Lonchura striata: one gene and its partner. The protein of the gene in region 2 interacts with the protein of the main gene of each other region in a pairwise test. Links are inferred from orthologs where the notes say so. Each region holds a gene or a part of one and is shown on either strand. Other genes may lie near its edges.

The links.
Region 1: the proteins of LMNA (region 2) and IFFO1 interact in binary tests that used the Homo sapiens proteins (3 or more experiments, as listed by UniProt). The link is inferred for Lonchura striata from reciprocal best matches to the Homo sapiens genes LMNA and IFFO1.

Annotation. Positions count from the first base shown.
Region 1 is NC_134604.1:29,440,986-29,444,727, forward strand, and holds the start of IFFO1 (non-homologous end joining factor IFFO1), read right to left. Parts: upstream 2,420-3,742; coding exon 1,737-2,419; intron 1-1,736. UniProt on the Homo sapiens protein: Nuclear matrix protein involved in the immobilization of broken DNA ends and the suppression of chromosome translocation during DNA double-strand breaks (DSBs).
Region 2 is NC_134635.1:1,184,289-1,188,030, reverse strand, and holds the start of LMNA (lamin), read left to right. Parts: upstream 1-962; 5' UTR 963-1,094; coding exon 1,095-1,444; intron 1,445-3,742.

The DNA.
Region 1 (3,742 bases), on a different chromosome or scaffold from region 2:
GGCCTCTTCCATCTGTCTCCAGGCAGGTGGCAAAGGCATGACACCAGCTGCACTGTCCCCATGGCAGATCACAGCCCACTGGGAAGGGAACTCTCAGCTCCCAAGGGATGTTGGTGTCAGCCCCCAGCATGGAGAAGGGTGTGGAAACTGAATCCTTCTGTTCCATTCCCCTGTTTGGGACCTGGCTGTACCCGTCAGAAAGTTCCCAGTGCTGGATAGGGTCTGGGGGTGGGGTCTGCTTTCCCTCAGCTCCTGGTAACACACACCAAAAATAGATCCCACCATAACAGCAGCTCATAGCAGCTTGTGGTGCCCCTCCATCTCACCCTCAGCAGTCCCTCTGTCAACCCCTCTGCAGCCTTCCCTGAAGCTCACTTGCCAGAGCAGGACAACCCTGAAAAGCTCTCCATTCTCCCAAAGTTTCAGCAGCACCAACAAACTAACTTGGTCCTCTCTGGCTGACCCACTTTGATTGTCAAGCTTTCCTGGCCAAGAAACAGGATCCAGCTTCCCACTCTCTGATCTGAAAATGCAATGCAAGGAGTGCTGCTCCTCTCTGGAGAAGGACCCTGACCACTGGCTTAATCATAAAAGGCCTTAGGTACATGCAGCAGTTGGTGGGAAAGAAGAAATGCCAACTCTTCCTTTCCATGTGCCTTGCTCAGTGCCTCCAGAGCATCTGACAGGCAAGTTTGCCCAGCCTAAGCCTTATAAAGCCAAAAGCACAAGGTGTCACCTTGGACCCCAGCCTTGATATTGGCATTGTGGCCGTGCAGAACTGGTGGGTGGCACAGCCCCTGTGGGGAGTTGGGAGTGGAATCACAAACTTTCTAACTGCGTCCAAAGCGTCATAACGGGACTTCTGAAAAAACCCCAAAGCACTGGCTGGGGTGGTGTCAGTCCCCAGTGACACTCTTGCCCAGCCCCATGCTCTGACCCTCCGACGCCAGCCCAGCCTGATCTCATCCTACGTGCGGATCCGGGGGCAGCCTCGGAAACTGGCCGGACACAAAAGCACCGCTGGCAAGAGGCAAGAGCGGCGGCCACCCTGCACGGGAAAGAAGAACCGGCCAAGAGATTAGCTTTGCATTCTGCTTCGCCCTTCTCCAAGGCACGTGCCAAGCCACAGCTATTTTGGGTCGGGAGGAAAGCCCCCAAGGAGTGGGGTGTCCTGCCTCGGCTCTCTGCTGCTGAGGGGCCAGCTGGAGAGCACTGCAGAGGGAAAGGGCCTAGGAGAGGCCAGCCAACCTGCTGAGGGGCTTCTCGACACCTTCTGACACGTTCAGAGAACTCCTTCCTTCCCAGCAGCTTTCTCCTATCCAAACCCACTCACTACTGCATGTCCACCCTCCTCAGCTACTTTCAGGCTGCTCCTCCTTCTTGAGTGCTTCCAGATCCCCTTGGTTTTAAAACACAGCTCCTGGGTTATTCCTTCCCTGCCTGGAAAAGCATTTCTAGTCCCTCATGCCAGGTTGGTAAGATGGAACAAGGCTCAACGAACATCCCGAGGGGGTTCGCACACCAGGCGGCAAGGGAGGAGACCCAGGCACAAACAAATGCTTTCAGGAGTCCACATTTTTCCTCGTGCTGCCTGTGCTCCCGAGAAGTCCGGCCAGGACCGTCGCCTTCCCTCCCTGCTTGCCCCTCACATCGCGCACCGGACAGAGCCCTGCAGGCGATAGTTTCGGTCCCGGGGAATGCCGCCGGTGCCCCTCGCTCCCGCCGCCCCTCCTCACCTGCGCTTGTACTCGTCGCGCTCCCTCTTCACCTTGGCCAGCACGTTGTAGAGGGCTCGGATCTCGGGGGTGATGGTGTCGATCTGCACTCCCACCCCGTCGGGGTGGACCCAGGAGACGCCCGGTCCCTGCACCAGGGTGGTCTCGGGCCCCGGGCCGAGCCGCCGGGCTTGCGAGAAGGACCAGATGGTGCCGGGCATGAAGCGGGAGCCGGCGGAGAAGGCGGACGGCTGGCCGGGACCGCCGGGGCGGGAGCCGGGCGACCCCAGCGCCCGGGCCGAGCCCAGCCCCAGCCCCGGCCCCAGCCCGAGCCCCAGCGTGCGGATGGGACCCACGAAGCCGGTCTGCACCGCCTGGTCCCGGCGCGGGGGCCCGCGGCCGCGGCCGCCCGCCCCCTCCTCCAGCGCCTGCTGCAGCTGCTTCTCCAGCTGCCGGTTGCGCCGCTCCAGCTCGTGGACCTTGGCCAGGAAGCAGCGGAACCGCAGGTTCAGCGTCTTGAGGACGCTGATGTTGGAGCCCAGGTCGTTGCGGAGGGCCATGGCGGCGGGCGGCGCGGGGAAGGGGCCGGCGGGCGGCTCCCCGCCCAGGGGCTCGGCGGCGGCCGGCGGCGGCAGCTCGGGGCCCGCCAGCCCCTGCTGCTCCTGCGGCAGGAGGAAGAGGTTGGGGCCGAAGAGCGGGTTCATGGCGGCGGCGGGACGGGGCGGGGAGCGCCGGGCGGGGGGATGCGCCCGGCCGGCCCCGGCGGCGGGGGCGCGGCTTCCGCTGCGGCGGGGATGCGGCGGCGGCCGCCCGGAGCCGCCCCCGCTGCCGCCCGTCCCCGCCGCCGGTCCCGGGCGGAGCGAGCAGGAGAGGGAGCGCCGCAGAACCTCCCTTTCCCCTGCCGGGCCCCGTCCCTGCCCCGCCGAGGGGCGGCCCGGCCTCCCCGGAGGGTTTCGGGGTGCCCCGGGGCGAAGGGACGCGGCCCGGTCCAGCAGGATTCCCCGGAGGGAAGTCCCTCTCCGGCACCGCTAGCTGAAGCCCCGCCTGCTACTGATTTCCGTAACTAGCCCAGCCGCAGCACGGTGTGCTTCTACCTCCTTTTTAATATTTTATTCCTTTTTTTTTGGCATAGACTTTAGTGCTTGCCCGGAGCTGCCCCCCTAAAAGAGGGCATAACTTCTCCTCTGCACCCCAAACCCTCTCGTTATCCTCTCTCTCGAGCCCCCCAGACAGCCCTGTCCCTGCCGTGCCGGCAGCCCGCCCGCGGGGAGCTGCCGCCGGACAATGGCGAGCCAGCGGGCAGAGGAGGCTGTGTGCGGGCAGCCTCTCAGATATCATGCTTGGCTTGCAACTGGCCTCCTCCTTCCTTGTTCACGAAGCAGCCTCGGGTCTTGTTTCATGTCCCTTATTTCAGCCCACTTTCGGTCATTCCCTCTTACCCCGACCTCAGGTGAATTGTGCAGAAAGCGCTGGCGTCGCCCCTCACCCCATTATCCAGTGGGAGGAGACCGCGCACAAATTGATCACTACATAAATATTTTATGGATGTGGACACCTGTGTTCCTTTGCTGTGTGTGTGCTCCTGGCCCGTTCCCCCAGGACTTGAGGAGCTGAGCTGTCTCAGCTGAGCCATCAGCGAGGGGTGAGCGAGCCGGGGGCTGGAATTCAAAGAGATGCCCAGCACCACACTGCACTGAGCTCTGTGGTAGGAGCTGGGCATGCTCCAGTGGGGCAGCCCTTCCCTTGGGATCCAGTGTACGGCTCAAGCCACACTGCCAGGAACTTCCTGGCTCCACTGAGGATGGCCAGTTTTGTGAGCCTTGACTGAGAGTCTGCCTATTGCCTGTTCCCTGCTGCTTCTCCTCCAGGACTACAGGTCTCCTCTGTCCCTCCATTACTCTTGTGCCATCCTGAGCTGGGAGCAGTCCAAATCAAATTTGTTCCCCACTCCTGCCTTGCTGTGTCCAGCATCAGTTATATCCTGTGGCCTGCCTGTCTCCCCTGTCCTGCCCATGACTCAAGGCTCC
Region 2 (3,742 bases):
AGCGTTGCTTTTCCACTCCCATTGTCATTTTATTCCCATTTCTCACACACGGGAGGGTTTGGCTCCAGAGCACAATGCAGGGAGGGGGAATGAAGTCCAAGGAGGGGACATCCCCCCTCTGGTAGCGCTGGGAGTGCCTGGAAGCATTTGGCAGATCTGGAAATCATGAGCTGTCTGTGTCTCGGTAGCGTTTTGAGGGAGACAGAGCACCCCGCACCTGCTGGGAGGACTGGGAATCCCCCCTGCTGGGAGCTGGCCATACTGGAAGGGTGGTTGAGTGGGACTGGAGGGGGCTGGGAGGCAGGAGAACAGGAAACAGTCAGGGAATTGGGACGTGAGCTCAACTGGTGCTCAGAATTTGGGGAGCTACAAACTGGCACAGCTGGCACTGAGGAGAGCTGGGAAATGGGGAATACCAGTGCTGAGAGAACTGGGCAAAAGCAGTGCAGGGAAGTGGGTAGGTGGGTGGTGGCATTCTTTAGTGCCTCAGTGCTCTTTGTGTGTGATGCCTCAGGATTCAGGGGAACCCAGACCAGGGTGTTTCAGGACTGCATTTGGGTCCTTGGATCCCAGAGTTTCAGGTACCTCGGGGTCCTGTGCAGCCTGTGGCTCCTGCATTCAGGGTGTGCCAGGACCCCCCATGCCCTGCCCTGTCCTATGGGACAGCAATGTCCTGGAAGTGCTCCGCCCAAGGGTCCTGGGGGTGCCTGGCTGCTCCTCCTCCCTGCAGCCCCCTCCTTTTCCCTGTCACTCCCAGTCTGCGATGCAGCCTTTGTCGAGGGAATCGCCCCAGAAAAGCCTGCAAAGGGGTTTCCCCGGACTGTGTCCCCAGAGACGCCCTCCCAAGGCCCCTCTACCCAGAGATATTTTCCCAGCCTTTCCTAAGGAAGGGCTGGGACTGATGCGACTTGTCTCCACCCAGCTTTTGGATAACTCCACCCGCCGCCGCCTCTCAGCTCCTCCTCCCAGTGAACAGCCCAGCTGGGATATAAGCAAGTCACTCAGACGCCGGGAGCTGCCGCGACAGCTGGGCGGGTGGCGTGGGACATCGCGCCGTGACCTGAGCCGTGCCCCTCGCCTCGACGCCGGACCCCATGGCGACGCCTTCGCAGAAGAGGAGCACCCGCAGCGGGGCTTCGGGGACCCCCTTGTCCCCCACACGCATCACCCGGCTGCAGGAGAAGGAGGACCTGCAGGAGCTCAATGACCGCTTGGCCGTGTACATCGACAAGGTGCGCTCGCTGGAGCTGGAGAACGCCGGGCTGCGGCTCCGCATCACCGAGTCCGAGGAGGTGGTGAGCCGCGAGGTCTCGGGCATCAAGGCTGCCTACGAGTCGGAGCTGGCGGATGCCCGCAAGACCTTGGATTCGGTGGCCAAGGAGAGAGCTCGGCTGCAGCTGGAGCTCAGTAAAGTGCGGGAGGAGCACAAGGAGCTGAAAGCCCGGTGAGTGCCCTGGGGATGGCGGGGACTGCGGCGGGACGGGTGCTGTCGTCATGCTTGGCAGGGAGCCGGGAGGGAGGAAGGAGCGACCTGGAGGAGCCAGGGAGAGAGAGGAAAAATCCGTGGCCTGGCCGGGGCTGGAGTGTCTGTGGTAGGGACCAAAAGAGGAGAGAAGCTCTCTCGTCATTCCTGCTCTCCTTCCAAGCGCCATCTTTGGCCGGGATGCCCTTGGAGCGGGGATTTGGGAGCGGAGCTGGGCACGCCTGGGGCAGGGGCTGAGCAGACATGCCCTGGGCCCCCGGCAGGGTCGGTGCTATGCGGGCCGGGAGCGCCGGGCTGGCGGCCCCTCTGCCTTCGTCATGCTGGAGCTATTCCTAAACACGCTCCGGCACAGCCCGGGAAGCCGTGCCAGCCAGCTGGCTCTGTCCTGCCTACGGATTTCGCCTGCTCGTCCTATTTTCCTTTGCTGTCTTTGGCACCGGTTAAAGAACCTGCTCCAGGTTTTGTTTGCTTTAACCCTCCCTGTGCCAAGCTGCTCCCACTCTGTGGGGTCCCTGGCTTTGGGGGAAGAAGTGTGCGGGTAGCACTCGTGTCCCCCTCCCACCAGCTGTCACTGGGTGATGTGCTCCCATTGAGGCACGAATTCCTCCAGCCGCTGCCCATCGGGCTCGTTTCTTTCCCTCCCTGCCTTCGTGGACCCTTCCCTGCTGCCTCTGGGTTCCTCTGCCCTCCTCAGGGCTGTCACCGGTTACCAGCCCAGGTCCCCTGAGGACACGGGGCTCCCTGGCCGGTGGCACTGCTGGCCAAGCAGGGGCTGGCCCTGGGCTTCCCCTGGGCTCTGCCAGCCCGTGCAGCGTCGGGACGTGTCCCTGCGGCGCTCAGTTCCCGAAGGCTGCTCCAAGGAAGGAGCGAGCCGATCCCTTTCCGTCATCAGCTTTGGCTCGCAGCCGTGTTCGGGCTGGGCAGCGGCGGGAACAGCCCCCTCTTGTTCCGTTTGATCTCTTGCCTCTTATTCTGGACTCCTCGTTTTGAGCCTGTACCAAATGAGGCTAAAATTAACTTCCTTAGCAGATGCCATAAATATTCTACCTGGGAGGGAGGGACTGTGCTGCCTGTTAGAGCCGTATCCGAAAGCCGTGTGGGGTTATATTTAGCTTTCTATTTCCCGTGCGCTGCGGCAGTTTCGTTCTCCGATAAGGCGGTTTGCTGCTCGCCAGATCCCCGCTCCCGGATCCCGGGGATCGGGATGCTGGTGAGAGGAGGAGCTGAGCTGTCTAAAGGCTTTTTTTCTACCTTGTGCAAACCCAGAACTATCTTGGCCACGATCTTTCGAGGGCTGGAAAAAATGCGCGGCCCGCAGCCGTGGCAGGAGGGGAGCTGGCTGCGCTGTGGAGCCAGCCGTGGGGAAAACGGATGTGGAATTTTTCCCTGCGACCGGCCGCGCTCCGGGAGCTGCTGCGCTTGTTCCCGGGCGCTGACAAATGCCCTGAAAGAGTGCTGGGACTCGCGGGGGTTCCCGGAGAGCAGCTTGTGCCCGAGAGAAGGGTTTTGGAGAGCAGTAGGTGCTCGGGGGGACAGGGGTGTTTCCGTGTTGAGTCATCTGTGAGTCACGGGCGCTGCGATGGAAGAGCGGAGATGCGGGGGAAGCCGCTGCTGTTCATTCCTGCCTCTGGTTTGTCTCCTCTTCCTAGGGCGCGGCATGAGGGCTGCTCCCCAACCCCTAAACCCTTGCAAGGAGGCTGCAGCTCATCTTGTGTCCCCGGGGACCTGCTCGTTGTGCCAGGGCTGCTCAGAGAGCAGCACAGTCGGCTGCTGAGCTGCGATGCTGCTCCTTGGGCTCACTTTGACTGGGGTGTCCGAGTCTTTAGGGCATGAGGGAATGGGGCAGCCACGAGCCCAACCCTGCGGAGGGGTCAGAGGTGCTGGCGGGACCAGGAGGGCCCCGTTGTGACACTGCTCTGCTCCCTGCCATCCCCTTGGGCAGGGATGTGCCCGCGCTGCCGGCTCTCCCCGCCCACCCTGAGCCCTTGGGCCAGCCCTGGGGCCGCTTCACTGTCCTTGACACGGTGAGACTTTGGCTAATGAGTAACCGCAGCCCTCTGCGCCTCTCGCTGTGCCCGTCGGCCCCGAGAAGCGCCGGGTATCTCCCGCAGGGCAGGCGCCCGGGGCCGCGTTATCAGCGCCCACAGCATCGCCGCTGCCCGGTGCAGGGGTTGTCTCGGCAGCACAGAGGGAGGGTGGGGGGCCGGGGTGCCAGGGCATGATGTGACACGGCCCCGGGCGCTGGGTGCTCTGTCTGGG